3 linked regions of the Kluyveromyces lactis genome follow. The protein of the gene in region 1 purifies or fractionates together with the protein of each later gene. This does not show direct contact. Links are inferred from orthologs where the notes say so. Each region holds a gene or a part of one and is shown on either strand. Other genes may lie near its edges.

Evidence for each region.
Region 2: the proteins of LSM2 (region 1) and PRP8 purify together in Saccharomyces cerevisiae (affinity purification with mass spectrometry; 4 studies listed by BioGRID). This does not show direct contact. The link is inferred for Kluyveromyces lactis from reciprocal best matches to the Saccharomyces cerevisiae genes LSM2 and PRP8.
Region 3: the proteins of LSM2 (region 1) and BRR2 purify together in Saccharomyces cerevisiae (affinity purification with mass spectrometry; 7 studies listed by BioGRID, with this or other methods). This does not show direct contact. The link is inferred for Kluyveromyces lactis from reciprocal best matches to the Saccharomyces cerevisiae genes LSM2 and BRR2.

What each region holds. Positions count from the first base shown.
Region 1 is NC_006042.1:848,381-857,852, forward strand, and holds LSM2 (Sm-like protein LSM2), read left to right. Parts: upstream 1-7,675; coding exon 7,676-7,963; downstream 7,964-9,472. Other genes in the region: histone deacetylase HOS2, read left to right, coding at 87-1,445; KLLA0_F09141g (type I glyceraldehyde-3-phosphate dehydrogenase), read right to left, coding at 1,908-2,978; KLLA0_F09163g (putative hydroxyacid dehydrogenase), read right to left, coding at 4,149-5,423; GDI1 (Gdi1p), read left to right, coding at 5,934-7,271; KLLA0_F09229g (uncharacterized protein), read right to left, coding at 8,087-8,476; KLLA0_F09251g (PITH domain-containing protein), read right to left, coding at 8,774-9,472. UniProt on the Saccharomyces cerevisiae protein: Component of LSm protein complexes, which are involved in RNA processing and may function in a chaperone-like manner. Component of the cytoplasmic LSM1-LSM7 complex which is involved in mRNA degradation by activating the decapping step.
Region 2 is NC_006037.1:469,279-480,905, forward strand, and holds the end of PRP8 (U4/U6-U5 snRNP complex subunit PRP8), read left to right. Parts: coding exon 1-7,087; downstream 7,088-11,627. Other genes in the region: KLLA0_A05302g (uncharacterized protein), read left to right, coding at 7,479-8,600; bifunctional ATP-dependent DNA helicase/ssDNA endodeoxyribonuclease DNA2, read left to right, coding at 9,059-11,627. UniProt on the Saccharomyces cerevisiae protein: Functions as a scaffold that mediates the ordered assembly of spliceosomal proteins and snRNAs. Required for association of BRR2 with the spliceosomal U5 snRNP, and the subsequent assembly of the U4/U6-U5 tri-snRNP complex.
Region 3 is NC_006039.1:1,578,232-1,589,708, reverse strand, and holds BRR2 (ATP-dependent RNA helicase BRR2), read left to right. Parts: upstream 1-3,507; coding exon 3,508-9,957; downstream 9,958-11,477. Other genes in the region: monothiol glutaredoxin GRX4, read left to right, coding at 1-758; RAD24 (Rad24p), read right to left, coding at 1,199-3,145; TFIIH/NER complex ATP-dependent 5'-3' DNA helicase subunit RAD3, read right to left, coding at 10,050-11,477.

The sequences.
Region 1 (9,472 bases):
TTGCAGATTGTAGCTACCAAGTATCAATTCTGGCTGAGTGGCAGTTATTCATTACGGGTAAGTGGTAGCGGAATCCTTTTCATAAGATGTCATCGGATACACTTAAATTTGATGAGAAAACGGAAGCTGAGAAGCCATTGTTTGATTGTGATTTTGGGACTTCCTATAGTCCCAGAGTCTCGTACCACTTCAATTCGAAGGTATCACAATATCATTACGGTGTCAAGCATCCAATGAAACCTTTTAGGCTTATGCTTACCGACCATTTGGTTTCGGCATACGGGTTACACAAAGTGATGGACTTATATGAGACGAGGTCAGCAACAAAGGATGAGTTAACAAAATTTCATTCTGAGGACTATGTCAATTTCTTAGCGAAGGTAACACCAGATACATTGAATAAACTTCCTCGAGGGTCACTCGAGAAATTCAACATTGGTGACGATTGTCCTATCTTCCAAGGAATGTTTGATTATGCTGCCTTATATGCTGGGGCATCGTTAGATGCTTCTAGAAAGCTACTTAATGGTCAGAGTGAAATAGCTATCAATTGGTCTGGTGGTCTACATCATGCGAAAAAGAACAATCCATCTGGTTTCTGTTACGTTAACGATATCGTGTTAGCCATAGTAAATCTACTGCGGTATCACCCGAGAGTGTTATACATCGATATAGATTTGCACCATGGTGACGGTGTACAGGAAGCGTTTTACACTACTGACCGTGTGTTCACTGTTTCATTCCATAAGTATAACGGCGAATTCTTTCCAGGTACAGGTGATTTGGATGAGATAGGTTGCTCCAGAGGTAAGCATTTTGCATTGAACGTTCCGTTACAAGATGGGATCGAAGACGACTCATACATTAATTTATTCAAAAGCATTATTGATCCCGTAATAACATCTTTTCGGCCCAGTGTAATTATTCAGCAATGTGGTGCCGACTCCCTTGGCCACGATAGACTTGGCTGTTTTAACTTAAATATCAAGGCTCATGGTGAATGTGTACGGTTTGTCAAGTCGTTTGGAGTACCAATGCTTGTGGTTGGAGGTGGTGGTTATACACCAAGAAATGTTTCAAGATTGTGGACGTATGAAACAGGATTATTAAATGGGGTATTGCTACAACCTAAACTTCCAGAAGGTATTCCATTTAGAGATTGGTTTGGCCCAGATTATTCATTACATCCAACACTAGATGACTTGTATGAAAACAAAAATTCCAAGAAATTTCTTGAAAATATACGGATTAGATGTTTGGAGAACATCAAATACTTACAGGGTGCCCCAAGTGTTCGTATGGATGCAGAACTCATCCCAACACAGGACATCACTGGCCTAACTGAAGAAGAAGAGGAACTGATAAAAGAGTTAAATGTCGAAGAGGACAAGGCTAGGTTGGCACAAATGGAGAAGGATGACTTTAAAGTGGGCGAACTATACTAAAATATCACGTGCGGAAATCTGATATATTTGTTTTTTTTTCTTTCTTTTGGTTACGCTTTGTAAATAGATATCCTATATGGAGTTGTTAGAATACTACTAAATTAACACTATTAAGGTAAAATTATGAGCACGAAGAAAGTGCCTTCGAGGTTAAATAAATACATTATTACCAATTAATATTAAGATCGTATACTTCATTATGCTTACATGGTATGGGTTTTTATTTAACTTGTCTATATGTGTTAAGAAATTTTCTGAAGATATCCTTTAGTAAATAGAATATCTTTAAATTGCTGTGAATATTAAATAATAATGGCGGATGGAGGTACAAAAGGTATTGTTTTGAAGTACCATCATAATTTTGTAAATTGTCGAAAACTTTTGAGAATAGTCTTCATCAAACGAAGAGTACTTTTTTGTCAGTCTACTGGGATTTTGAAATCAAACAAAAAAAGCGTCTCCTTAAACACCAGCTTCGAAGTCCTTTTGAGCCATGAAAATGGATAAATCAACCACTCTTGAAGAGTAACCATATTCATTATCATACCAAGAAAGGACCTTGAAAAAATGGTCGTTCAATTCAATACCGGCCTTGGCATCAACAATAGATGAACGTGAATCGGATGTGAAGTCAGAGGACACAACGGCGTCTTTGGTAACACCCAAAACACCCTTCATATCGCTGCGAGATCTTTGTTCTAGGGCCTTCATAATGTCATCGTAAGAAGTTTTCTTTGCTGTACGGAATGTCAAGTCAACCAGGGAAATATTAATTGTTGGGACTCTTATAGACATACCGGTGATCTTACCATTAAGTTCAGGCAAGATTTTCCCTACAGCCTTAGCTGCACCAGTAGATGAAGGAATGATATTTCCCTGGCAAGATCTACCGCCTCTCCAGTCCTTACCACCAGAACTGGTACCATCGACAGTCTTTTGAGAAGCAGTAGTTGCATGAATAGTTGTCATCAAGGCTTCTTCGATACCGAACTCATCGTCCAAAGCCTTAACCAACGGAGCCAAACAGTTGGTAGTACAGGAGGCATTAGAGACCACGTGATCCGTCAATGGGTTGTATTTAACGTGGTTAACACCATAGACGTACATTGGCGCGGTCTTTGATGGAGCAGTAATGATAACTTTTTTGACACCTTTATGTCTAGAGGCTGTATCGACTTCCTTGAAGACACCGGTTGAGTCAATTACATAATCGACGTTGTAGGAAGCCCATGGGATACGCTCTGGTTCCCTAAAATGAGATAGAGGGATATGAGCCGAAACATGGTCATTTTGAATGATGATACGTTCATCGTCGAATTCAACTTCACCACGATACTTGCCGTGAGTAGAATCGTATTTGAACAAATAAGCAGCGTATTCTGGTGTTGTGGATGGATTATTGATTAATCTGACCTTAACTTCTGGGTGCGTCAAAGCAGCACGTAGAACCAATCTACCGATTCTACCAAAACCATTGATACCAATGTTAATTTGAGCTGGCTTAGAAGAAGATTCGTTTGTCATATCGGGCATCTAAAAAAGTGACAGTATCAATTCTGTGAGATTTTAAAAGGTCCGGTTTAAAGAAAAAAAGTAACTTTTCTCTCAAATAATAATAATAGCGGTAATATGTGCCAGTAAATATTAGAAAATAAAGAAGTTTTCTAATGTCAATGTTATTAAATCACAAGTGGATGACCTAGCGTAGCAGTACCAGTAAGATCTTTATTTCTTAAAAAAGGTAAAAAGAAGAAAACGGTGATGCGAAAGCAGTGAAAGCAGAGCAGACAGCGGTTAATTAGATATGATTATCTCTGGATTTGTATAATTTAAGGAAACCATCAACCAAAAAAAAAAACACCAGTCGTTTACCGGTTAGATGATTTCGTCTTAAATTGCCCATGGCATGTACATCCCATATTTATATATACTTGAGGATAACAGATAAATGAATGAAATAGAAGCCATAGAGAAACCCCGGAAGAATGTTTCAAACTGGTCTAAATATTTGAAAGGTTGAAATTCCAACCTGCTTCTCTGTGGCAGAGGAACGTTGAGAAAAAAACACAAGACAAGTAAATAAAAAGGTCAAATTCACAACAAAAAAACGCCAGAAAAACTACGTAAAATGAAAGGCTTTTTTTCGCTGCTGCTTCCGTGCGATTTTCTACGCCAATCCCTATTGAATAATACTAGGACAGCGAAGCATCGGTCGGTTATTGATTGCTTCTATGTGGCTGTCTGCCCTATCTTGAGTCACGAATCAGAGACAAGGGGAAACCACTACATCAATTAGACGCCAGATAAGAATAGAGACAGACGCTTTAATGAGCTTACTGGCCAATAGGAAGCGTTTTTGGTCATCAGATTGTATGCCTATTATGTTGTCCGGTCTCTGGTAGATAATGTCATAAGTATGCCGAAGCTTTAGTATGAAAAAATACTGAAAAAACTCCGGGGTTCGTGACAGTTTTTTAGGGACAAAAAAGTCCTACCGGAGCAAATTGGAAGAGACAGACAATTTGGCCCTGAAACAATTCGGAGTTTCAAGAAAAGAGGGAAAAACAGAGAAACGCATAAAGAGCAGACATGATTTGGTAATAGTTCCGGGGTGAGGGGCACAGTAGATACTGCAGATAAAAGGGTCTTCTTCTTATCCTCCTTTCTTAGATATGTACATAGATATACCTTTATCGAATCTGCCTAGAGAACCCGGGGGAGCTGTGAAAGCGATGTTTTCCGGGCAGGGGCTGGTGCTTTTGAGAACGGTTCAGAGTCGGGCTTGGAACCGAATCTTCCGGGTACTGAATTCTTGGAAGGTTCGGAAGAGGAAGAAGCACACACGTGACTCAAAACTTGTAGCGCCAGTCTATTGCTCGCTTCCCAGACAGCTCTTGTGCTGCTAGCTATATGGGGGGTGATGGTGTTATAATGGCAATCCTCAGATAACCATTGTTCTACAATTGGCTCATCGTGAAACACGTCCATTGCTACATGTCTAACTCTGCCGGGTTCTTGTGCCATAATATGCTGTAATGCATCATCGTCGATTATTGAGCCTCTTCCGACGTTACAGATAACAACGCCGAACTTGCATCTTGACAGAAAAGTTTTGTTGATCATGTGATGTGTTGATGCATTTCCTGGTAGACATATTACAATGCAATCAAACGTTTCAAGGCATGGACTGCTTCCATGCGCATCCTGAAAATCAGACTCAAGTAGCTCAGAGATTGGATGGAATTGCCACTTCTGGATATAAGTGTCCGAGCTTATTTGTTCTTTTGTAACCGGATTTCTCTGCGTGTAATGTATTTCCATTCCTAATCCGGAATCCAATTTCCTACCACACTGGATTCCAATACGTCCAAGTCCCATAATGAGACATCTCTTGTTCCGACAACTTTCATTAAAGGTTCCTCGTTTCCATCTGTGCCCAAATTCGAACCTTGGTGAATTGTTTTCACCGTGTTCCAGTACGATTTCTGAACGAGCCTTGATAGTGTTTCTTGCTGATCTCAATGCATGTGCCTGACTTGAGAATTTCCGAAACCCATCTAGAACGTGCCAGAGGACGCAATCTGCAACGTCGTTGGCTACAATTCCAGAGTCCTGTATCATGTCGTCATAATTGTACAGTTGAATGCCCTTTTCCCGTAGTGACTTCAGGTCGAGCCAATTGTAACCTACAGAACACAGACATATGCACTTGATCGACCCAGGCCAACGATGATCATCCAAGATTTCTGCACTCAAACCACCTAAGGGAGCGAATTGTGGATACCCTCCAAATATTCCGACAATTGGACCCTTTTGCTTCGAATGCTGGTCCAAGAAAGTTAGAAATGCTTCCTTACCAGTGCCATCAACATCTCGTTCAAGTGTGTAATTAACCGTGTTGAACTCTTTTTGCAAAAGCTTATATTCCTGTAAACTGTATTCAGGTTCAGCTATGAATAGTATCCATGGCCTGTCCATCGTGAAACGAAGTTTGGGACAAATGAGGGAATATGGTTTTGTGTATAAACTTTGCAGTGAAGGGATCCGAGTTTTTCTCTGCCAACCCAGGATCGTCTTTGTTATAATTAATATTGAAACCTCCGTTCACAGATCTGGGTCACGTGAAGAAAACTTCAGTCACTATTTTACGATATTGGTTGAACTGACATACTACCTTTCGAGGTGCTGAACATTCCTGGATCTTCAGCAATTTATGAGCATCTGAAATTGTCCAACTAGTTTGTTAACGCTCGAGATCAATGCCTGAACTGAATGCAGTTATATGCGTCTAGAACGTTTGTCTTTTAACCTTGAATTAGTGTTGAAAATAAAGAAAGTGCGATTGTTACAATAAAAATAACAATAATAGGGAGGATCATAGTATTTAGCAAGAAAACAATAACGACTTCAAACGTAGGGCTACCTTCAACTAGATAGGAAACGTTGGACCTAGTTCATAGAACGTCGAATTGACAAAAGCTTGTAATAATGGACGAAAATTATGATGTTATCGTCCTTGGGACAGGTCTTACCGAGTGTATATTATCTGGCTTACTCTCAATCGAGGGGAAAAAAGTCTTACATGTTGACAGACAGGACCATTATGGTGGTGAATCATCCAGTGTCACATTAACGCAACTATACTCTAAATTCAAACAACATCCTTTGAGTAAGGAAGACATTGAGTCAAAGTTTGGCAAGGATAGAGATTGGAACGTGGATTTGATTCCTAAGTTCTTGATGGCGAATGGTGAATTGACTAACATTTTGGTTCATACTGACGTCACCAGATATATCGAGTTCAAGCAAGTTGCTGGCTCGTACGTTTACAACAGAGGTAAAGTATATAAAGTTCCTGCTAACGAAATGGAGGCTATTTCATCTTCTTTATTGGGTATCTTCGAGAAAAGAAGGATGAAGAAGTTCTTGGAATGGATCAGTGCATACAATGAAGAAGATATCGCCACACATCAGGGCTTAAACTTGGATCAAAACACTATGGATGAGGTATACTACAAATTTGGCTTAGGAAATTCAACCAGAGAATTTATTGGACACGCAATGGCCCTTTGGACCAATGACGATTATCTGCAACAACCTGCTAGACCATCAGTGGAAAGAATTATCCTATATGTGCAATCGATTTCCAGGTTTGGTAAATCTCCATATATTTACCCTATGTATGGGTTGGGCGAATTGCCTCAAGGATTTGCTAGATTATCAGCTATTTACGGTGGGACATACATGCTAAATACCCCAATTGAAAAGGTTTTATACTCAGACGATGGTAAATTCGAAGGTATTGTCACCAAAGAAGGTACTGCAAAAGCACCAATAGTCATCGCAGATCCAACATACTTCCCTGAGAAATGTAAAACTACAGGTGAAAAGGTGATCAGAGCAATTTGCATCACTAAACAACCTGTTCCTAACACTAGTAATGCTGATTCTTGCCAAATAATTATACCACAATCACAAGTTGGAAGAAAGAACGACATTTATATTGCTACTGTCTCTGACGCCCATAAAGTTACTTCGAAGGGTCATTACCTCGCCAGTGTATCAACCATCATTGAAACTGATAAACCTCATATCGAATTAGAGCCGGCTTTCAAAATGTTGGGCCCAATTGAGGAGAGGTTCATGGGTATTTCAGAAATCTTTGAACCGATCGAAGATGGCACTAAAGACAACATTTACATCTCTAAATCTTACGATTCCTCATCTCACTTCGAATCCATGACCGACGATGTCAAGGATATCTACTTTAGGATTACTGGTCACCCCCTTGTTTTAAAGAAGAGAGAAGATGTTGCAGAGGAGTAAGTGAGAACTACGAGATAACCGTGATGCTAACTTTTGAAAATATCGTACCTTCACGTACTTCTACGTACTTTTACGTTACTTTCTTGTTTCGTTACAATCTTTATCATTATCATTTTATTTTTGTCTATTTACTATCTAGCCCCACATATTAGCTTGAATGTTTTGGCAATAGTTTTATTTCAGCAATCGACGTAAAAATATCCCAGCTAGTCCTCTTAAGTCCAGCAGCTTCTCTACTTCTACATATGAAGTTGTGTATGTCAATTTTGTACATGTATCTTTTTTTTTTCCTTCAACATGAAATTGTTTAAAACAATTTCATGTTGAAATTTGACAATACAACTACAACACATTCAAAAGTCAAATGCATGGACCTCTGAACCAAGGCCGTACTGTCCAGAACCATGCTATTATTTTCATTTTTCAAGACCCTGGTTGATCATGAAGTCAAAGTCGAACTAAAGAACGGTATTGAACTAACAGGTACTCTAAAATCAGTCGACCAATTTTTGAACTTAAAATTAGACAACATTTCGTCCAACAATAATGAAAAATATCCACATCTATCAAGCGTGAGGAACATGTTCATCAGAGGTTCTACTGTGAGGTATGTACATTTGAAGAAATCTATGGTGGATACCAACCTACTTCAAGATGCAACCAGAAGAGAATTAATGAGTGAAAGAAAGTAAACGAAAGAAGCAGCGAAAAACAGGGTTCCTGCTGCAGAAAGGAATAATTTATAACTGTTAAATATCATTCGAGTCTACCACTCTCACACTATTCACATATGTAATAATAGAACACATTACCTATCATGGTGGAACTCCCAAGAGTTTCTTCTCACATTTTGATCGGAGGTGTCCAGTTTCATTGCAATAAGAACATTTAATGTTGTTAGCTTTAGACTTTCGTTTTCCAAATTTGGCTTGTTTAGGAGTTCTTTGTACTGGAATTAGAGCATATTCTTGACCGTCTTTCTGAATAATCTCAATTTGTTTCGAAATCATTTTTGAGAACTTCTCTTTATCCAGTTCAACGGATGTAATCATCGAGATGAGCTCATCAACGTTCTTCAGTTTGTTCTCGTATTCCTCTTTTAAAGACGGGAGAGTCGACTGCTTTTTTTGGGACTGAGATAACACTAGTTTGGCTAGTTGATCAAGCGCCTCAGACTGTTTAATAATCTTGTCTGCATCCGCCATGATAGAGCTTGTGGTCACTGGGGTTATCCGATACCACACTTCCTACTCTGGTGGTCCTGAATTTGATCCTATCTCTCTATCGTTCTTTTTTCACTTAGATTCCATAGTGAAAGTGAAAATAAAAAACGACATCGGACAGGGACGGATGTGACCCCGTGAGAAGAGGTGGAGTCGCATTTCCTTACGACTATATGCTCATTTCAACATACGAGATATACATATATACCATGCAACTATTTTTAGGTTGATTTGTCTTACTATCACAAACTTTTCTTTGTTCTTGAACAGAACTGCCCTTTACGAGGCGTAATTAATAGTTTGCGATTCCAATTTCACATCAGCAGGGTTCGGAGCCGCCTCATACACTGCAACAATTGGAACTCCTGAATTTCTTAGTTTCCCTGTCGCTTCACCTCTTAACTCACAGAAATATAATCTATTAAGGTCATCCTCATCACCCGACCAGTTATCCTTCACTAAGACAGTCAAGTTCTCACAATTCTGGAAGATATTCCTTGGCAAGTCAAACTTGATAAATGTGTCATCATCAAATAATGATTCATTATTATAATCTGGTTCAATACCGACGTTGTCTGGAAACTCGACGGTGTACTCCGCCTTCAGATCGTTTATGGTATCAAAGTCCAAATTCTTATTGTAGTTCTTATACAACTGAATGTGTCTTGGTGTACTATACCCTGATCCACCCTTGTTAACTCGTAATATAATTGCAAATATTTTAACAGATGCAGTAAAGGGAATCTGAAGTAACACTTGACAGTCTGCGTCTGACTCTAAGTAAAGGGAAGTATTATACTTCTCATCTTGCGGCTTCAAAAAGCTTTTTGAAACCAAACTTGACCTATCATTGCTAACTCCATTCAGGACTTGTACTTTTGTCATGTCAATATGTGTATATAGGGACTGGTTAGAGAACGTTTCTGCAGGTGGTTCATGAGAATGTCCATGATCGTGGTTATGACCATGTCCGTGATC
Region 2 (11,627 bases), on another chromosome or scaffold:
GGTAGATCTGGGACCACCACCGCCCCCGCCTCCTGGAATTCAGCCAGGTATAGATATTCTTTCTGATAAAGCGAAGAATAACTTACCACCTCCACCACCACCACCTCCATCGTCATCTTCAACATCTATGATAGACGAAGCACAGAATGACGATCAGCACTATAACGGTCTTTCGAGGGATACAAAAAAGATCAGGAAAGGGAAGAAAAGAGTAGCTCAGAAAAAATCGGGCTTAGTTCATTCACATAAGGTAGAAATGCCACCGGAACATCTCAGGAAAATATTAAATGATCACATGGATATGACTTCATCAAGATTCAACTCCGATAAGAGAGCACATTTGAATGCACTAAGATATTTACCCCATGCTATATTGAAACTTTTGGAGAATATGCCGCAACCTTGGGAACAAGTAAAAGCTGTCAAAGTTTTATATCATGTATCAGGTGCTATAACATTTGTAAATGAGATTCCTAGAGTGATAGAACCAGTTTACACTGCGCAATGGTCAACGATGTGGATCGCAATGAGAAGAGAAAAGAGAGATAGAAAGCATTTTAAAAGAATGAGATTCCCTCCTTTTGACGACGATGAACCTCCCTTGACATACTCTGATACCATTGAGAATCTAGAACCTTCAGAAGCCATAACTTTAGACTTGGATAATTATGCTCATGATGGCGTAAAAGACTGGATTTATGATACACGTCCCCTAGAGGATAATGCGAAAGCAGTCAACGGAAGCTCATACAAACGTTGGAAACTTGACAATGGAGTCATGTGCAGCTTATACAGATTGGCAAAACCACTCATTGAAGAGTCGAATTCCGATAAAAACGCAAAATACTTGTTTGAGCAAAAGGCTTTCTTTACTTCCAAAGCGCTAAATAACAGTCTTCCAGGTGGCCCCAAATTTGAGCCTCTATATCCAAACGAAGAAGAGGAAGATTATAACGAATTCAATTCAATAGATAGAGTAATTTTCCGCATACCTATACGAACAGAGTACCAGATCGCTTTCCCTCAAATATATGCAGCTCGACCAAGATCTGTTGAAACATTGTGGTACCATGATCCGCTCTCGTGTACCGTTAAATCTGAAATGGAGCACTCATCTGCTACCTTTTTTTTCGGACAGTCTCTCAACCCAACTATTTCGCATTCCCTGCCCCATTTCCACACAACTGCAGAAAACACCAGAGATAACTCTTTTAGGATTCCAATGGATGTCAGACCTTTAATGGAAACACAAGAACTATTTTTTCCCACTACTAATGAAGCAATGTCATTATATCATGCACCATATCCATACAACAAAAGATCGGGTAAAACCACCAGAGCTCAGGATGTCGCTCTAATAAAAAGGTGGTACCAAGAACATCCTGATGAAAGATATCCTAACAAAGTAAAGAGTTCCCACCAAAGACTATTGAAGAATATTGTAGCAAATGAACTCCATACCGATGACCACACTTCAAAAAAGAAAGTTAAGTTGTTACAAAGTCTAGCAAATACTAAATTCTTCCAAGAAACAACGATAGATTGGGTTGAGGCCGGCTTACAAGTCTGCAAACAAGGTCACAGTATGCTCAATCTCTTGATTCACAAAAAAGGCCTTACGTACTTACATCTTGATTACAATTTCAATTTAAAGCCAACTAAAACCCTTACAACGAAGGAGAGAAAGAAGGCAAGATTTGGGAATGCTTTCCATTTAATAAGAGAAATTTTAAAAATAATAAAGTTGTTGGTAGATTCTCATGTTCAATATAGGATGGGAAATGTCGATGCGTTTCAGCTTGCTGATGGATTGTACTATATTTTGAACCACACAGGACAACTCACAGGTATCTATAGGTACAAGTACAAAGTCATGCATCAAATTCGTACATGTAAAGATCTAAAACATGTCGTGTATTATAGATTCAATAAAATTATCGGGAAAGGTCCAGGATGTGGTTTCTGGCAGCCTGCATGGAGAGTTTGGATATTCTTCCTTCGAGGCATAATACCGATTCTAGAAAGGTGGCTAGGAAATTTACTCACTCGTCAGTTTGAGGGAAGATCAACTGATGTTGTTAAAACTACTACTAAACAAAGACTCGATGCTTACTATGACTTAGAACTACGAGCATCTGTTATGAATGACATTTTGGACATGATTCCCGATGGAATAAAGCAGAGCAAGGCAAGGACAATTTTACAGCACTTATCTGAGGCTTGGAGATGCTGGAAAGCCAATGTTCCCTGGGAAGTTCCAGGAATGCCCGAGCCAATAAAAAACATTATAGAAAGATATGTGAAAGCAAAAGCTGACGGTTGGACATCTCAAGCTCACTATAATCGTGATAGAATCAAAAGTGGTGCCCATGTCGAAAAAATTGTATTGAAGAAAAATTTAGGCAGATTAACTAGACTTTGGATAAAACATGAGCAGGAAAGGCAAAAGGAAATTGAGAAAGCAGGTCCCGAAGTAACCCCAGCAGAAGCAAGTGCAGTGTTCTCGGCAATGGTAGATTGGCTTGATGCCAGGAACTTCTCACCTATCCCGTTCCCTCCTTTGACTTATAAAAACGATACGAAGATTTTGGTTTTGGCACTTGAGAATTTAAAAGAGCAATACGTTTCAAAAGTCAGGCTAAATGCCCAGGAACGTGAAGAGTTAGCTTTAATTGAAGAGGCATATGACAATCCTCATGATACCTTGAATAGAATTAAAAAACTATTGCTAACCCAAAGATTATTCAAGCCAATACAACTAACAATGATGGATCATTATCAACACATATCTCCAGTCTATAACGTTGATCCGTTGGAGAAAATTACCGATGCATATCTTGACCAGTATCTATGGTATGAAGCTGACAGAAGGCAGCTTTTCCCTAGTTGGATAAAGCCAGGTGACTCAGAAATCCCGCCACTTCTTGTTTACAAATGGTGTCAAGGCATTAACAACTTAGATTCTGTATGGGACATCAGCAAAGGGCAATCGACCGTATTGTTGCAAACTGATTTACAAGAATTCGTTGAAAAGATGGATTTGACACTAATAAACAGGCTCCTAAGGTTAATTATCGATCCGACATTAGCGGATTACATTACTGCAAAGAATAATGTCAGTTTGATCTTTAAGGATATGAATCATGTTAACAAATATGGTCTAATAAGGGGATTACAATTTGCACCATTTGTTTATCAATTTTATGGTTTAATGATTGATATTCTCATCTTGGGACATGAAAGGGCACAGGAACTAGCAGGCCCTCCAAACGAACCATCTGAATTCTTGCAATTTCCAGATAAAGCTACTGAAACGAAGAGCCCAATTCGCCTCTACTCACGCTATCTTGACAAAATCCATATTTTATTCCACTTTGAAGAATCTGAGTCTGATGAGCTTATCCAAGACTATTTGATGGAAAACCCCGATCCAAATTTTGAAAATTCTGTTGGTTATAACAACAAGAAATGCTGGCCTAGAGACGCCCGCATGAGGTTAATCAGACACGATGTTAATCTAGGTCGTGCTGTTTTCTGGGAACTTACATCTAGGGTACCAAAATCACTTGTTAACATAACGTGGGAGAATACTCTTTCTTCAGTTTATAGCAAGAATAATCCTAATTTACTTTTCACTATGTGCGGTTTTGAGGTGAGAATACTACCGAAATCTCGGATGGAAGATGTCATTTCTCATGATGAGGGTGTATGGGATTTGGTGTTGGACTCCACAAAAGAACGGACTGCCAAAGCGTTTTTACAGGTATCACAAGAAGCTATTGATGAGTTTAGAGGTCGTATTCAAAGTATTTTGATGGGTTCCGGCTCCACAACTTTTACAAAAATTGTGGGCAAATGGAATACTGCACTAATCGCTTTGTTTACCTATTTTAGAGAATCTATCGTCACGACAGAACCGTTACTCGACTTACTCGTGAAATCTGAGACTAGAGTTCAAAATAGAGTAAAACTCGGCTTAAATTCTAAAATGCCAACAAGGTTCCCTCCAGCAGTGTTTTATACACCTAAAGAGTTAGGTGGTTTGGGAATGCTCAGCGCATCGCACATTTTAATTCCCGCTTCTGACTTGAGGTGGTCAAAACACACAGATACTGGAATAACACATTTCAGGGCAGGGATGTCCCACGAAGATGAGAAGATGATACCAACAATTTTCCGATACATTACTACCTGGGAGAACGAATTTTTGGACTCACAGAGAGTATGGGCGGATTATGCTGCTAAAAGACAAGAAGCCATAAAACAAAATCGTAGGTTGGCATTTGAAGAATTAGAGGGTTCTTGGGATAGAGGTATACCGCGGATCAGTACCATATTCCAAAAAGATAGGCATACGCTAGCCTATGATAAGGGTCACAGGATTAGGCGACAATTCAAAGAGTATTCAGTGGAACGTAGTAATGCTTTCTGGTGGACAAATAATCGTCATGATGGTAAATTATGGAACTTGAATGCCTATCGTACGGATGTCATTCAGGCCTTAGGGGGTATCGAAACAATTCTTGAGCACACATTATTTAAAGGAACTGGCTTTAAATCATGGGAAGGACTTTTCTGGGAGAAAGCCTCTGGTTTTGAAGATTCAATGCAGTTCAAGAAACTTACTCATGCACAAAGAACTGGTTTGAGTCAGATCCCTAATCGTAGGTTTACGTTATGGTGGTCTCCGACGATTAATAGAGCGAACGTCTACGTTGGGTTTTTGGTGCAATTGGATTTAACAGGAATATTCTTGCACGGTAAAATTCCAACATTGAAGATATCTTTAATTCAAATTTTCCGAGCACATCTATGGCAAAAAATCCACGAAAGTGTGGTTTTCGACATCTGTCAAATTCTGGACGGCCAAATGGATATACTACAGATTGAATCTGTTCAAAAAGAATCAATTCATCCACGTAAGTCGTATAAGATGAATTCGTCTGCTGCTGACATCACATTGAACAGTATTTACAAATGGAAGGTTAGCAGACCAACATTGTTGCATCAGACGAAAGATTCTTTCGACGCTACCACAACTGACAAAATGTGGATCGATGTGCAGCTTAGATATGGTGACTATGATTCTCATGATATATCAAGATATGTCCGTGCGAAATTTTTAGATTACACCACAGATAACGTGAGCTTGTACCCGTCTCCTACTGGTATTATGATCGGTATTGACTTGGCCTATAATATTTACGACTCCTATGGAACGTGGTTTGAGGGATTGAAGCCCTTGATACACAACGGTATGAAAACAATAATGAAAGCTAATCCAGCACTTTACGTTTTGAGGGAGCGTATCAGGAAAGGTCTTCAGATATATCAATCTCAAGTTCAAGAGCCATTTTTGAACTCATCCAACTACGCAGAGCTATTTTCCAATGACACAAAATTCTTTATCGATGATACGAATGTTTACCGGGTCACTGTTCATAGAACTTATGAAGGCAATGTGGCTACTAAGCCTATCAACGGATGCGTGTTTACTTTAAATCCGAAAACAGGTGAACTATATTTGAAAATAATTCACACTTCGGTGTGGGCGGGGCAGAGCAGATTGGCTCAATTGGCAAAATGGAAAACCGCAGAAGAAGTAAGTGCATTGGTTAGATCGTTACCCAAAGAAGAACAACCTAAACAAATTATAGTTACTAGAAAAGCTATGATGGACCCTATGGAAGTACACATGTTAGATTTCCCAAACATTTCGATTCGTCCAACTGAGCTCAGATTACCTTTTTCTTCTGTTTTGAACATAGAAAAATTAAATGATGTTGTTTTAAGCGCTACAGAACCGCAGATGGTTTTGTTCAACATTTATGATGACTGGCTAACTCGAGTTTCTGCCTACACTGCTTTCTCTAGATTGATATTGCTATTAAGAGCGCTCAAAACCAATGAAGAAAAAGCCAAAATGATTCTATTAGAGGATCCTACAATCCCAACGAGAGCTAATCATCTATGGCCTTCTTTTACTGATGATCAGTGGATTGAAATTGAGACGAAGATGCGTGATCTAATTCTCTTAGAGTATGGTCAAAAATACAATGTAAACATTGCTTCTTTGACTCAAACTGAAATCAAGAATTTGATTTTAGGACAGAACATTAGAGCTCCATCTGTTCAGAGGCAGAAGATGGCAGAATTGGAGGCTGCAAGAAATCAGAAAACTGATGAGTCGTCGCAGTCTGCCACGGCAGCCATGAAGCTAAAAACAATCAATGCTCAAGGTGAAGAAATTACAGTGGTGTCATCCAGCAATTATGAGTCCCAATCTTTCAGTTCGAAAAATGCTTGGCGGTCAAATGCAATCTCCAATTCATTGCTACATTTGAAGCTTAAGAACATATATGTTACTGCCGAAGATTTTGTAGAAGATAAAGATGTCCTCGTATTCCCACGGAACTTGTTGAAGAAGTTTGTCACAATAGCTGATGTCGATGTCCAAATTGCAGGGTATATGTACGGGTCACCTGTAAAAGATCACCCTAATGTGAAGGAAATTAAGACGATAGCACTTGTCCCTCAACTCGGCAGTTCCGCAACTGTTCGCATATCTCCTCCCCCCTCATCTTCCAAATATCTCAACGACATGGAACTGTTGGGATGGATACATACCCAAAAAGTCGATTCCAAATTCATGTCACCATCTGAAGTGATCACTCATTCCAAAATGTTTTCAGATCATAACGAAAGTGCTGTTGATTTGTGCATAAATCTAATCCCAGGTGCCGTATCAATTACAGGATATACGTTAAGCACTACGGGTTTCAACTGGGGCTTACAATCGAAAGACATAACGGACCCTTCACCAGAAGGGTTTGAAGCTTCATTTAGCGAGACTGCACAGATTTTATTATCTGAACGCATTATGGGCAATTTCTTGGTACCTTCGTCATCGATATGGAATTACGCTTTCATGGGAACTGCTTTTAGCGAAGATCTACCTTACGAATTGAAATTAGACATCCCACTAGAGTTCTATAATGAACTCCATCGTGCTCCTCACTTCATACAATTCTCTGAACTTGCTGGAGATGAGGAATTAGAACCGGATCAAGAAAATCTATTCGCTTAAGCGAAGGAGAATACAGATAATTTCTCTATAATTGTTATATATTTTTTTAAAACCATTTTACATTTATATTAGGCATCTGACCTGCATTTGCCCTTACATCAACCGTATAAGACGGTTTGGAATGGCGTTTTAGGCTCTACGATTTTCATATTATCATAAAAGTGAAGTAGTCATAATGTGCTTGTTCCATCTGACTTCCAAACTTTCACGTGACTTCTCTCTGAGAGGTAATACTGAATATTTAAAAAGTAGACAAGGAACTTCGTCCCTTGAAGATATTGCACATCGACTCTCCGATGGAGACGGTTAAACAAACAGTTTAACCAAAGTGATTATTGGTGCATATTGGAAGAAACTAGTTACTTTCAATAAAGGAAGCCGTGAAATAATAATGGCGCGAACAACTACCAAGAGAAATGTCTCTGCAGCAACACGACCACAAAGAAAGAATCCATTGAGATTTAAACCAGGTAACTCTGGACCGAAATATAACAGGCCCAACGCAGCAGGTCCTAAAAAAACGGATCATATGATAGCTGCAACTTCTACTAACGCGAATCAAACATCTAACTCTGATAAATCTTCTAAATTTCTCCCAATGTCTGGTCATGAAATGAACGCAGCTAAGTACATTATGGAACTAACGAGATTAGGTTACTCGTTTGACAAAGTACAAAAAGGCTCCAAATCAAATTACAACTTTCTATCAAAAATGTATAATGCCCTTAGACTACCCGTTAATATTGACTCTGGTGACATATCGTCAAATGAAGAGAATGATGTGAAAATAGCAGTTAAAGAGAATTTACTTACAAAGCCAACTGCTTTCCAAAATTCTATTGAAAAGCAAGAGACACCAAAGCTATCACAAAATGAAACCGAAGCCACAGAATTTAATCAAAGTACCTCTGCACCAAATGTTTCTAATACTAAAAATAGGTCGTTCGCACTGCCAGAGGAACGGGAACTAACGGCAATCGATTCAATTGCATCAGAAATGAATGAAGAAAAGCTTGGAATGGCATTATATGAGCAGACATCCCGTATACTCATGAAGACGAGGCTAAATTTACTGAAGCTAAAGGCTGCAGCAAACAAAAGAGTACCGAAGTTTAGCAAAGAACTGGAAGCGTCTCTCAAAAAGAAGAAAGATTTACTGATTTCAGATATTGAAAGTTTCTATTCCACAATTGGGTTACGAGATGAGTTCGCTCCAGGAATGAACGATGATTTCATCGAATTGGGAGATTCTTTTATGGATAAAAGCAACCACGACGAACATATAGTCAATGATGAAAACGAACTGCCGAAACGTCTACAAAGTCCGGATCAACATATCAGTATGGCGAACTCTAAAACTTATCAACTCAATCTCAATCAAGCTAGTAACGGCCTAGTAGAACCATCCACAATCATACAGGACAGTGTCATTAAATTAAAGAAGTCTACACCAGATCACTTTACCCCGTATCAATCCCTCAATTTAACGAAAAGAACTCAACCTAATACTTAATACTAACGCGTTCGTACGTAAAATTCTGACGTATCAACTCACCGTTTCCGTTCATTATCATGACGTTTATCAAACAATATAATTTATAAAGGAATGCACGAAAATGCATCAATATTTGTGAGAGGACCAAAGTGTCGGTTCTATACATCCAATGTAAGTCGTACCCTAGCCCTGCGATTGCCTTTTGCCATGCGCAATGTTTTGGTTTGGAATCAGAAAATGTTGATCTCTAAAAAACGTAAATATTAAAACAATACACATAAATATATCGCGAATAAGAAGAACTATTTGAATATCTTCAAACGCGAAGAGAGAAAAGCCCAACTGCCAATCAGTCAACTTTAGGATTAGTGAATTGGTGGTAACCCAAATGGTGGGGATTCAAGAAGCAGAAAAAGAAGCATACTGTTGTACAAACTCAATAGCAATAAGGCTTTGAATTCTTTACTGGAAACACGATGGTTTCTACCCCAAAGAAAAAACGTACCGCCAGTGTTTCTATATCGCCATTTAAGAAGGATACGGATGCTATTTCAGTGGATTATAAAGGGAAACCTAAAAAGAAACCAAGTAAATCTTACCATTTTGCCCCCCTGAACCGGCTTAGCAGTGAAGAACCAATTTTGAAATCGATACCGATCTCAAGAGTACGAAATGTGGAAGCTGGAAGTTCCGTCAAAGATACTGTCAATGCGAAAACTAGTGGCAAAACAAAGCTTGCATCTAAAAGAATTATCAATAGCACAAAGACTAGAAGGGAAAAATCGACTGAAGCTGTGCCAGAAACGAGGTATAGCGATGGTCCGTCGGAAGAAGTAATATGGAGATACTCTCCTAGGAAAATTGATGAGCAATTATGTAACCATTATAATACTGGAAACGACGATAATAACTCCGATGAATTAAGTCAAGATATGCCTCTAGGTCAATCTTCTACTCCATTGATCAACGATAAGTTTAAAGATGTGATTGATTTTGAGAACATGGATCCCAACAGCATTGATAAAGAATGCAGGAAAATTGCACAAGGATCTCCTGTAAAAAGAGGAGAAAAGGATGTCACACCTATGAGAGATATACACGAAATTTTAAACGACTTAGAAGGTCCTAAGTTGCTTCCGCCTTCTTCACCAATTTGCTCGGAACCAGTTGTTATAGACGATGACCCTGTAGAAAATCTTCCGGAGCTGGCATCAGAGAGTATTTCAAATCATAAGCATACTACAACTAATGGCATAGAACGCACGTTCACAATGTATCCTCCTCAGATCAATATAGATGACGACGAGGATGAGGACGATTCGTTAATTGATATTCTCACACAAAGATTCACAAAGCCAGTCATCACAGAATGCAATGAAGAATCAGAGGAATCAGATGCTTCCTTATTAGAACTTCTTGATGAGGAAAAGCCAGCTACACTCCCTCAACTTCAAGTGAGAAAAATTGAACGCATTGAAGTTATGCTTGAATCAGAGGATGAAAATGTGGAAGACTCTGTAAAATCAAATGAAAATCAAACCGATCATCTGCTTAATAACAAAGCCGATGTGGTTGAAAGGTATGTTAACTTGGCTAAATTCCCATTCCCTCAACGCGGCTGTCAAAGACTATGTATTTTTGAAATCAAGGAAATGAAATCACCAGCGCAAATAATTCTCACATGCTTCAATCAGGATGCTGGAAAAGTTAACCTAATTCTCAGAGATCCATGGATTCGTTTCAGATACGAGCAAGGAATGATTATTCACCTAATAGAAGGTGACCACTTTCCTAATAAACGGCTTCTTTCAAATGACAAAGACCCTAAAACAGGCCTCGAAAATGATAATTTATTGATCGTGTATCCGGATGTTCTTCTTTCTGCCACTGCAATTGGGACTGCCATGGATTGCGAAAGGCGTGCCGTTTTATCTTCAAAATTTAATGAACCCGGTGAATACTCGCTTGCAGCTGTCTTAGGTAACATTATTCACGCGTTGGTCCAGGAAGTGTTAAAATTGAAGCTGTTGGAGCCGAATCAGTTTCTCTCAAAAGGCTTAGCTCTCGAAATTCTGGACAAAGTCATAAAACCATTCACTACGGAGGTGAATATGTGTGGAGAATCTGTCGAATCAGTGATTAAAACGATTTCAGATGAGCATTTACCTTTTATCATAGAATTTGTGAACATTTATGTCACTAAGGACAATTCAAGGTCCTGGATTCAAGTAATTGGAACAAAAAATAAACGTAAATTATCTGTTTCTCAGATCGTTGATATTGAAGAGAACATTTGGTCATCAAAGTATGGATTGAAAGGATATATAGATGTCACTGTTGAGACGAATGTTGATTCAGACGGTAAAAAGTTGTTAGCTCCCGTGGAGATAAAGACAGGGAAATGGAAATCTAATGCACACGAGGCACAGGGTCTAATTTATACATTGCTTCTCCAGGATAGATATGACATCCCTGTAAATTTGCACATGATGTTGTATACTAAGCTAAGAGAGTTCTCATTACAACCCAAAATTTTAATATCGCTAAAGCATCTGCTTAACCTCAGAAATAAACTTGCGACATACCTACAAGTAATGAATGAAGAGATGTCTGATTGGGGTGGACCACAACATGAATTACCCGCAATGATACAGAACTCCAAGTGCGATCAATGTTTCATGAAGACATCTTGCATGGTGCTCAACAAGTTAAGTGACAAAGAACAAACGCCAGGATTGCTAAAGCATGAATATACTGATTTAACCAGACATCTTGAAGCACAAGGCTCACAGGTCCTAGAGCTCTTTCGGTCGTTTTACGGCAAGTACGATAGGCTTTTAATGATGGAAGAAACTAGCATAACAAGTGTCACTAAAGATACTTTCCTTATGTCGGGCACAGATCGAGAGGCTCAAACAGGACATTGCATAAGTCAGCTTACCATAAAGAATGTACAGGATCAGGGAAACGGGAGATATCTGTACACTTTCTGCCGCGAAAACGATATTCAAGGGTCATTTGCCACTTCCAATGCAGAACAACAGG
Region 3 (11,477 bases), on another chromosome or scaffold:
CTGAGTTGACTACTACTAAGGCGGGTGACAAGCTATTGGTATTGTATTTCTATACCAGTTGGGCCGAGCCATGTGTTGCCGTTGGAAAAGTTGTGGAAGCTCTAAGTGAAGAACGTTGCAATAAGGATGTTGTATTCTTGAGTATTTCTGCTGAGGAACAAGTTGAAATCTCTGAGCTTTTCGAAGTTTCATCTGTGCCTTATTTCATCTTCATTAAAAGCGGAACGATATTGAGAGAAATGTCGGGTGCTGATCCAAAGGAATTTGTTGCTATTTTGAACCAATTGAACGCTTCTGGTACTGACGATAACGAATCTGGTGCGGCTAATTCTTCTGCTGATAATGGAGCTGGTTCCAATGTCGCTTCTTCTAGAACGGAAAACGTTTCTAATGTTGGCCCAGGGTCACCATTGGGTGAAGATAACGAAGAGCAAGAAGAAACAGAAGAACAGTTGGGCGAAAGGCTAAAAAAACTTACACAAGCTGCACCTGTTATGCTGTTTATGAAGGGTACACCATCCGAGCCAAAGTGTGGCTTTTCTAGACAGATGGTTGGAATATTGAGAGAACATCAAATCAGATTTGGGTTCTTCGATATTTTGAAGGATGAGAACGTTAGACAAGGTTTGAAGAAATTTTCTGACTGGCCAACTTTCCCACAGCTATATATCAATGGTGAATTCCAAGGAGGTTTGGATATCATCAAGGAGTCATTAGAGGAAGATCCAGAGTTTTTTCAACACACTCTGTCAGCATAAGTTGACCCGCTAACTTGCATCAAAACGAAAATAGCTATAACGACCTAACAGAGAATTTTGTTGCACTACGCTAATATTTTATTAGAGCAGAGCTGCTTGCACACACAACGTTAATAATTATTGCGGTCTGCTCTTCCCATAATTGGAAGCCACTGAATATCTCTGGTAGGGTCTCGAAACATTCGTTGATTTGCAACCACGAAAAAGTAAACGAACAAGCACACTGAAAACAATGAGTCGTTAACTGGCTTGCAGCGCTATGTTTGAGTCTCGAATGTTAACAACGTGTACCATGTCACAGTAACAACGTATGCTTCTCACTTATTTATTTTTATCTATGTCTTTTTAATAGAATAGTAACATTAGTAATAAAAAACATCTGATTAAATGATAAATGCAATTTCATAAACGAGTTGGGGGTGTTGATATAACAAGTATTCCTATAGGTTCTCTATATCAGAATCAGATAGAGGAACGTCTTCATTAATTGAGTTCTGAGTGCCATTGAACTTCGTTTGTTTTGGCCTTTGGGACAAAATTTCGTAAAGTTCAGAGTCACCCTCTTCTACTTCCAGACCGATAGCTGGCTCGCTGTCTGAATCCACTATCGGATCATCTTTGAAATCATGGTTATCTGGTAAAGTAGAGGGGTCCTCGTCTAGGAGCGACTGCTTCTGCAAAGATTTCAGTTTTTCCAAGTTCCGTTCATTGGTTAATGCTAAATTTTCGCTCTTAGAATCATCTAAACTAGTCGTTAATTCAGAAGTTGCATGCATCATCCTCATTTCACCACCAACTCTTTCCAAGATGTCAAGATCGTCTATCGTCAATAATCTCCTATACTTAGACATATAATCATTATATTGTTCTGTGGTAGGTTTCAACGAATCAATATAATATTTCAAAGACTTCGCCTTAAATGATAGGAATTTACGTATTTCAGGACCAAAATAACTCCCATAAAGAACCGCGTCTTTGGTGGACCACAAGGAGTGGTATTTGTAAAATTCAACAGCAATGAAATCCTGCAATTGAAATTGAAACCTCTTTTGTTCCTGAACCATCTTATACTCTCTTGGAAAGTTTGCTTGACCATGTACGCTGTGATTGGAACTTTTCACATCGCTAGAAATATTTCTAACTTTCCCAAGACAATAATACAGAGGTTCTTCTTCTAGAGGTCGTAGTGTGTCCGTTATACTCAATGTGTCCACAACATCTGCAGCATAGTGCAGCGGGAACTGTGATTTGTTTAATTTAGAGAAATTCTCCAGGATACCCAATTTGAACGTGTCATTGGCAATTGTTCCGCCGTCAACAAGCTCATTTATCATATACCTATCATTTTCATTATCCTTCGATCCATATATTACCTTACCAATACCATGGAAATAACTTGTTGAACTTTCTCTCGTGAAAATACTATTAGTTTCATCAAAGCTAGAAGTGCACCAGAATTGTAATGCCGCGATGCCAGATCGAATATCACCTGTACTAGATGCAAGGTTCTTAATGAAAGTGCCACTTCTTTGGTATTTCTCTGAGGGGATTTCTCTTCTAACTTTCTGTATTATCTGCTTTAAATGCTTCGTCATTAATGTTGCATTGATGGGATTAAACTTAATTCGATGCAACAACGGGTGCATCAAGATATCTTTGCCCAAGATTGTTTCTGAAATGAAGGTAGAATCTATTCCAAATGATGAATTAGTAGAATTCGAGTCCAGTAGTTGACATTCAGTAAGACAAATCACCAGTGGTGGTAGACGATCAGAAGCAAAGAGCCACGAGAGAATACTCTCCCTGAACCTTTTCAACGTTGACTCGTGGAAAACATTCGGCAGATCTTCGACAAGAAGTACTGACAAATTCCTACCGATTAAGTACTTAGATTGAAGCAAAAAATCATCAAACGACTCAGATGGTGAAACGCTACTCATATCTGTAAGATATTCTGTAAAATTCGGAACTTCCCTTCCACTCACTGTGAGTCCTGACGTAGCTCTATAACGAGGCACTATCTCATCGCTTATAAGCTTAACACAAGTACTTTTAGAACAACCTGCAGGCCCACTTAACAGAAGAATCCGTTCATCTGATTTCCCTGAGACCATACCCTCTAAATAATACCGTACTTCCTCTATCTTCTTCTTATGCAATGCGATGTCATCAACTCTCTTCGGACTAAATTTGTCATACCATTGCAGCTCACTTGGCAACGTCCGTTCTCCACTAGGTCGTGTCAAATCCACATGATCCAAATTCGTGTAAGGAAAGGAAGGAACCGACGTAGATGATCGTTTCACCTTCTTATCCTTTCTTGGGGATGCTCTGCTTATCCTATCGCTGATTTCACTGATAGATCGTTTCAAACTAGGAGTTGACATGCTATAACATCATTAAAATTCCTCAATTTATGACGAAAATAAATGTAATGTCGTTTAGTTCAATTCTGCAAAACGGCCGAGCTCCGTCTTGGCGAGCTATTCGGTATATAATTTGGTATTAAGAGTAGTTTACCTCTCTTCAATCTGTATTCTCTTATATTGAGTGCTAATCTCTGACTGTGGAAATATCTAGCTTACCCGCACATTGAAATTAAGCATTCCATTTGATATTTGCTAGTCGAATATGAATTATATGAATGGAATAACATCGTATAGCTTAGATGTGGTATCTAAAATGCACATAGAGCGAGTTGAAATCAAGCAATAGTCAGTACTGATAAGGTACATACTTAGACAGAGAGATGACCGAAGATGCTAAAGAAAGAAAGCAGAAAATCAAAGAGATTTACCGTTATGATGAAATGTCAAATCAGGTACTACGCGCTGATAGAAGTTTGATAGAGAACAGGACGGATGTGCATCGTGATGCGGAAATATCACAGCCGAAGTCTATGTCTGGTAGAATCAGGCTTACTGAAATGGGATCTGCCGTTAAGGAGAACGGATTAGAAGATAACGAGCGTGCTACAGCAGAGAAAGAATTCGAAAAGCGTATGAAAAGCTCATCGCCTCAGCAGACGAATAGCTCAAGGCTGGACAGAACCACGGTACTTGACGATATAACGTCTTTGAACTACATACCGACTGATGATAGAAATACTGAGATATACGATGAGATAACTACATGGTGTTCTGAGATACTCGGTGATGATATACCGCATTCCATTATAGTAGACGCAACAGATTTGATAATAGTAACTTTGAAGCAGGATGAAAGTGTAGACCTAGAGAGCAAGAAAAAGACTATTGAAGTAGCTTTGGATACTGAATTAGACAACGCTTCATTCAACTCACTTGTAAAGCTCGTGAAAAGTATCTCTGATTACTACGCAGAATCCGCCGATACCGGTAGAACAGTAAATGTAGCGATAAATCCCAATGAAGATGATGACGAAGCAGAAGAAGAAGAGGAACCAAATGCTCTACTAGAAGCTGTAGATGACGTGGCAGGGGAAGAGGCCGATGAAGAAGCGGGTTATAATGAAAAAACAGACAATAGTAATGATAATTTTTCTGTACGAAGTGACATAATGAATAATTCAGAATCTTTGCAAATACAGAGTGCAGCTGTCATGGAAGAAATAATAGATATCAAAGATATTGATGGATTTTATCTTCAGAGGAAGATCAGGAAACAACTGAAAAATATTGAAGAGACAAAGGTTCAGGAAATGGCCAATAACGTATACGACCTGCTCGCAAACGACATCTCTGAAGAGGAACTGACCCAAAATCTCCACGATATTTTCGGACCTGATGCGAAACAATTGATTAGGCTAATAGTCTCAAATAGGGAGACATTGTACTGGGGTCACAACTTACAGAGGTCTGCGAACGAGAACATTGACGAAATTCTAGGGGAAATGGCACAAAGAAATTTATCACACTTGGTAGAAGCATATAAGGCGAAACCTGATTCTGCTAAAAGAAAGTTGAATTCAGAGCCAGAAGTTGGAACCAAAAAACAAAAAATAGAAGCTGAAGATGAACCCAAAGTAATTGCCCTCGATGACCTTAAATTATCGCAGAATACCAAGTTTTTGTCAGACGTGAAAATTTCGTTACCTGAAAACTCATTCAAAAGAGTCAAAGATAGCTATGAAGAAATTCACGTTCCCCCGCCCAAGAAGGTTGATGACAATTTCCCGCTTGTACAGATCGAGAGCCTACCGAAATGGGCTCGCAGTGCTTTCCCTACGTCTGAAACGACTTCACTAAACAGAATTCAATCTGAGGTCTACCCCACTGCTTTCAATACAGACGCTAATGTATTACTATGTGCCCCCACAGGTGCTGGTAAAACTAACGTAGCAATGTTGACTGTACTAAGAGCAATGTCCCATTACTATCGGGAAGAGAGAAATGCCTTCGATTTGAAAAAATTTAAAGTGGTTTATATCGCACCGCTCAAGGCATTGGTACAAGAACAAGTCAGAGAATTTCAAAGAAGGTTACATCATTTTGGAGTGAAGGTAGCAGAGCTTACAGGTGATTCCAACTTATCTAAGCAGCAAATCGAAGAAACCCAACTCTTAGTAGCAACTCCGGAAAAATGGGATGTAATCACAAGAAAATCAACAGACACTAGCTTTCACAAACTCGTACGTTTGATCATCATAGATGAGGTCCATTTATTACATGATGAAAGAGGTCCGGTCATTGAATCAATAGTAGCAAGGGTTCTACGGGACACAACGGCAGAAATTCCTACGAGGCTTGTTGCACTTTCTGCCACTTTACCAAACTACATTGACGTGGCCAAGTTCCTTCATGTTCCTGATAATGGCTTATTTTATTTTGATTCAACTTTCAGGCCATGTCCTTTAGCACAACAGTATTGTGGCATCACTGAGAAAAATGCTTTAAAGAAGAAGAATGCCATGAACCAGGCATGCTATGATAAATTATTGGAGGCCGCAAAAGAAGGACACCAAGTTATCATTTTCGTTCATTCGAGAAAGGATACTGCTAGAACTGCTAGGTGGCTTATTCAAAAACTTATAAATGAAGATAAAATAAGTGCGTTCCAAGGTACCGATAAAGGTTCCTTGGAAATCCTCAAGACAGAATCCAGTAATGCTACTGATAGATCGCTCTCCGACCTTATACCTTATGGATTCGGTATCCATCATGCAGGCCTTACAAAGGATGATAGATCTTTATCCGAAGACCTTTTTGCTGATGGTTTGCTAAAAGTTCTTGTTTCCACAGCAACTTTAGCATGGGGTGTTAACCTTCCTGCCCACACTGTCATAATTAAAGGTACAGAAATGTATTCACCGGAGAAAAGTGATTGGGTCATGCTTCCCCCACAAGATATCCTTCAAATGTTAGGAAGAGCTGGTAGGCCGAGATACGACGTAAATGGTGAAGGGATCATTATTACAAACCAATCAGACGTACGTTATTATCTCGCTGTGTTGAACCAACAACTCCCTATAGAATCTCAAATGATTTCAAAAGTTGTTGATAATCTTAATGCTGAAATAGTTCTAGGTAACGTCACCTCACTAGATGAAGCAGTTAACTGGTTGGGTTATTCCTATTTATCAGTACGGATGAAGCAATCACCTCATTTATACAACTTGCAAGGTTCTTCAGGAGACATGAGTGATGCTGAGCTCATAAGAGTCAACAGAAATATTGTGCATACGGCGTTGAATTTATTACAGAATAACGGTCTTGTAAACTATGACTCTCTTTCTAAGTCGGTACAACCAACTGAGCTAGGTAGAATATCCTCTCATTTCTACATAAGTTATTCGTCAATTGCAAAATACAACCGGGAGTTAACAATAAACAGCACTTTGATCGACATTCTGAGAATATTTGCTATGTCAGAAGAGTTTAAGAACATTACCGTAAGACAAGAAGAGAAAACTGAATTAGAGAAACTCGTCGAGCGTTGTCCAATTCCGATCAAGGAGAAGGCTACTGATTCATTAGCCAAGGCAAACATTCTACTTCAGGTGTACATTTCAAAATTACGATTGGAGGGGTTCGCTTTAAATGCGGATATGATTTACATTTCTCAGAGCGCAGGTAGACTTTTCAGAGCACTCTTCGAAATGTGCTTAAGAAAAGGATGGCCAAGACTAACCAAGCTTCTGCTTACCATCTGTAAATGCGTCGATAGCAGAATGTGGCCCACGAACTCACCATTTAGGCAATTCAAGAGATGCCCTCAAGAAATCATAAGACGAGCAGAAGCGTCTGGTTTACCCTGGAACGATTTCTTACTGTTGAAGAATGCTCATGAGGTAGGCGAAGCCTTAAGATCTCCAAAAAATGGTAAAGTTGCTTTCGATTTGCTTCAAAGATTCCCGAAGATTGGCATTCACTGCGCAATGCAGCCAGTTACAAATTCACTACTTCGTTTTGAGTTGGAACTCCAACCTACATGGATCTGGGATCTGGATTCCAGCAGCTATTCTGAAACATTCCTTGTTCTTGTCGAAGACACAGACGGTGAACAAACAATTTATCATGAGACATTGCATGTTGGGAGAAATGCAATAAACAGCATTGTGTATCTTGACTTTGTTGTATTTTTGAAGCAGAAAATGTTACCGCCGAACTATTTTGTATCCGTTATATCAGAAAAATGGCTAAACTGTGAGTACAAGATTCCTGTTATTTTGAGTGAAATAAAATTACCTAAACCATTCCCTCCTGCAATATCTGTTTCTGATTCAATTAAGAAAAGTACCAAGGAACTACAAATTGATGAATTTGAGGCGTTATACAATTTCCATTCTTTCAATAAAGTTCAAACTGAAGTTTTCGATACATTATACCATGAAACTGAAAACGCACTAATATGTGCAACAAAAGGTTCCGGTAAAACAATAATGGCAGAACTTTCATTATTGAACCATTGGAGAGAAGGCAGAGGACGTGCGATTTACATTTGTCCATTCAAAACCAAGATAACTGAACTTCTAAAGAATTGGAAAAAGCGATTCTCACATTTGGCTGGTGGAAAACTGATCAATGCTTTTTCTGGAAATTTGCAGCACGATCAAAAACAATTAGCCCAATCTCATCTAATATTAGCTACTCCGAATGAATTTGAATACCTGTCTCGTCGCTGGCCGGAAAGAAAAAACATTCAAAGAATAGAACTAATTATTTGTGATGACATCCATGAAATAGGCAACGAGATAATTGGACCGATGTATGAAATCATAATTACGAGAATGATTTTCATTGCAACACAATTGGAGAAGAATATAAGGATTGTGGGGCTTGGAACCCCACTTGCCAACGCAAAGGATTTCGGAGAATGGTTAGGTGCAAAAAAATCAAGTATTTTCAATTTTACTGCTTTAGAAAGGCAAACACCCTTGACAGTCGATATCGAAACTAGCATTTTAGTAAAAAGCCCTACTTCTAATCGAATGGCCCTAACTGAGATCGTTGAAAGTAGTAATCGTGTCGCCTCACCCGATGAAACTATAACAGTTTTCGTCACTGACAGATATGAATGCGTTTCTTTCGCGACAGAACTCGTTGGTCTCGCTGTTGCTAAAGGCATTGATCTTCTTAGAGCAGAGGAATCCAGTTTACACTCGTATCTCAACAAGGTCCAGGACAGCAACCTCAAGACACTGTTGCAAAGTGGTATAGGAATTCTATACCAAGGTATGCATTATTCCGATAGGAATGTAGTCCGTAAGCTCCATGAATACAAGGTGATATCGATTTTGGTTGCAAGTAGGGATTGTTGTTTTGATGCCCCTTCATCAAGTTTTGTCTTTGTTACTACAACTCAATATTTTGAAGGCAGGGAGAACAGATACATCGATTATCCTGTAAATACTATTCTTGAGATGATGGGAACAGCGTTTACGGCGTCAAATAAACAGCAAGCACATGCAAAACTAATCACCACAATGCAAAGGAAGGAATACTATAAAAAATTCCTTTGTGATGGGTTACCAACGGAGAGTTCTCTGCCATACCATGTTATTGATTTACTTACAACGGAGTTTGCAAACCAAACATTAGAAACCAAGCAAGACTGTATCGACCTTTTAACTTACACTTATCTATATCGTAGAATACATGCAAATCCAAGTTTCTACGGTATTCAAGATGTGACTGCAGACGAAATTTCCTCCTATTTAACAGAATTAGTAGAGGAAGCAGTAACAACCATGAAGGAAACCGAGCTTATATCAGTTGAAGGGGAAGCGAACGATTCCACAGAAATTGCAGAGGAGGTAATTTCCCCGAATAATGCCTGTCTTATTTCTGCTATCCATGCCGTAAGTTGTTTAACGATATGCAATTTTAGCCGAGCAGCATCAAGATCACTAAGAATGAGCGGTATTCTTGAAATTTTGTCTTCAAGTGAAGAGTTTAAGACATTGCCTCTTAGATTACATGATATAAAGCCATTAAGAAAATTATACGACATTTCACCTTTGAAGTTGTCCTCCGAATTCGATCCACGCTCCACAACAGCCAAGGTTTTTGTGTTATTGCAGGCCCATTTTTCAGGTCTTCATTTACCCATGGACTTATCACTTGATTTGTCTGAAATCCTTTCAAAAGCACCTAGCTTAGCAGGAACAATGGTAGATATATTGTCAATGAACGGTTATTTGAATGCCACTACTGCTATGGATTTAAGTCAAATGATTGTTCAAGGTGTGTGGGATACTGATTCACCTTTGAAACAAATTCCATTCTTTGATACAGACATCTTGGAGAAATGCAAAAACCATAATGTAGAAACAGTTTATGACGTGATGGCTTTAGAGGATGAAGAAAGAGAAGATATCATCACTTTACCGGAAAATAAGTTGAATAAAGTCGCAGAATTTGTCAACAGTTATCCAAACATTGAGTTGAAGTATGCTCTAGATATGTCAGCACCGATGAAACCTCACGACAAAAAAATGGTTACTGTAACAGTAAGTAGAGATGAAGAACCAGAAACACTAAATGTTAGCTCAAAGTCGTTGCCACATGAAAAAACTGAAGCATGGTGGATATTCATCGGTGAAAAGAGCTCCAGGCAGCTATATGCTATCAGGAAGATCGCGCTTACAAAAATGACCCAGGACTACGAATTGGAAATCGAATTGGAAGATCCTGGTGATCATGAACTAACAATATGGTGTGTATGTGATTCTTACTTGGATGCCGATAAGGAAGTAACATTTAATGTTAACATCGCATAGTAAATGCATAAATAAAAAGAAAGTACTGTATATATGCAGTGAATATAAATTAAAATAAAATTCTTTCTATAAGCAGAGTAGAATCCCTTTATCTAATCCTTCATTTCAATGTCCCCGTCATTATCCTTGACTTCTGTCACATCCGAATCAACAAACCCGTTATGTTGCTTTTTCTTAACACTTTCTTGGTGCGCCAGTAACTGTGCATGACTCCACACAGATACACCTTCTTGATCTTTTGGATCAGTTGGTTGTGCCATGGTTCGCAAAAATTGCTTAGTATTGGCGATAGCCATATCCGTGGACAAGTTCATGTCGGCATCAGATAAACCTTGTGCAATCCATTTTGGTAGTTGACTTTTCTTCCTTGCAAATCTACGGTCTGCCAACACCATTACACCGTAGTCATCTTTACCACGTAAAACTCTACCTAAGCATTGAGCTGCATGTCTCATTGCATCAAAAGATAAAAAGTCATTCTCTCGGATCTGGTAATTCTCACGTAAGAACTCTAGTCTTGCCTTAAGAATACGAGATTCTGTATACTGGAACGGAATGCCGATCATGAGTACAGTTCTTCCGTACTGATGGTCAAAATCGATACCCTCAGACACTTTACCACGCGCAACTGACAAAAGAATGGCTCCTCGTCCGTTAGAACAGGCCTTACGGTATGTTTCCAATGCTAAAGCAGTTTCTTGTGCATCGGGAGTTTCCACTAAGATCAATTTGTATTTCCAAACCTCATCTAGAATACCCATAGTTTGCCACATTGAAATAATGGATTCCATGTATAAATAAGATGGGAAAAAAACGACCAAACCATCGGGTGTGATTTTGGCAAATTCAACCAACATCGAACCATAGTTACGAACAATGGAAGGATCATTTCTAATTTCGAATCTAGATGATATTGCCACTTGATCAGAACCCTTTGTTAAAATCATTGGCAAGAATGATTTTTTCGCTAAAGTCATCGAATAAGATTGTTGTAATACAGTTTCGAAATTTAACATCTTAGGGTACATATCCAACGGGGATATGGTACCCGAAGTGATAATAACCGATGAGAATCGTTCGAAGATAGGTTTAATTGCAATCGATGCGTCAAGACAAGTAAATCTAACGATTGGATTGGGCACTGCCGCATTTTCGATTTCATACGGTTCTATAATCAAGAGGAACCCATCCTCATAAGTAGAAATCAAAGTAGCAAAAGTTGCAATGTCTTTCAAAGCGTTAAATTCTTCCACTTCCTCGACTTCAAGGGTCCTAACCAATAACGACAATCTTTCTGAACAAAATCGTAAAGGTTTCCTTTCTATAAATGTCAATTGTTTGAGATGAAGGAGGAAAGAGTTTGGTGTCTCCGATATGACATGTAAAACCTTCATTCTAGTCTTCAAATATTCGATAAATCTTTTCAAAAATGAAATGAAATGTGTAGCTCTTCTTATATTCCCAGGAATTGCCTCCTTCAATATATCATTTGACAAAACTGGTGTTTCCACCAACGGCTC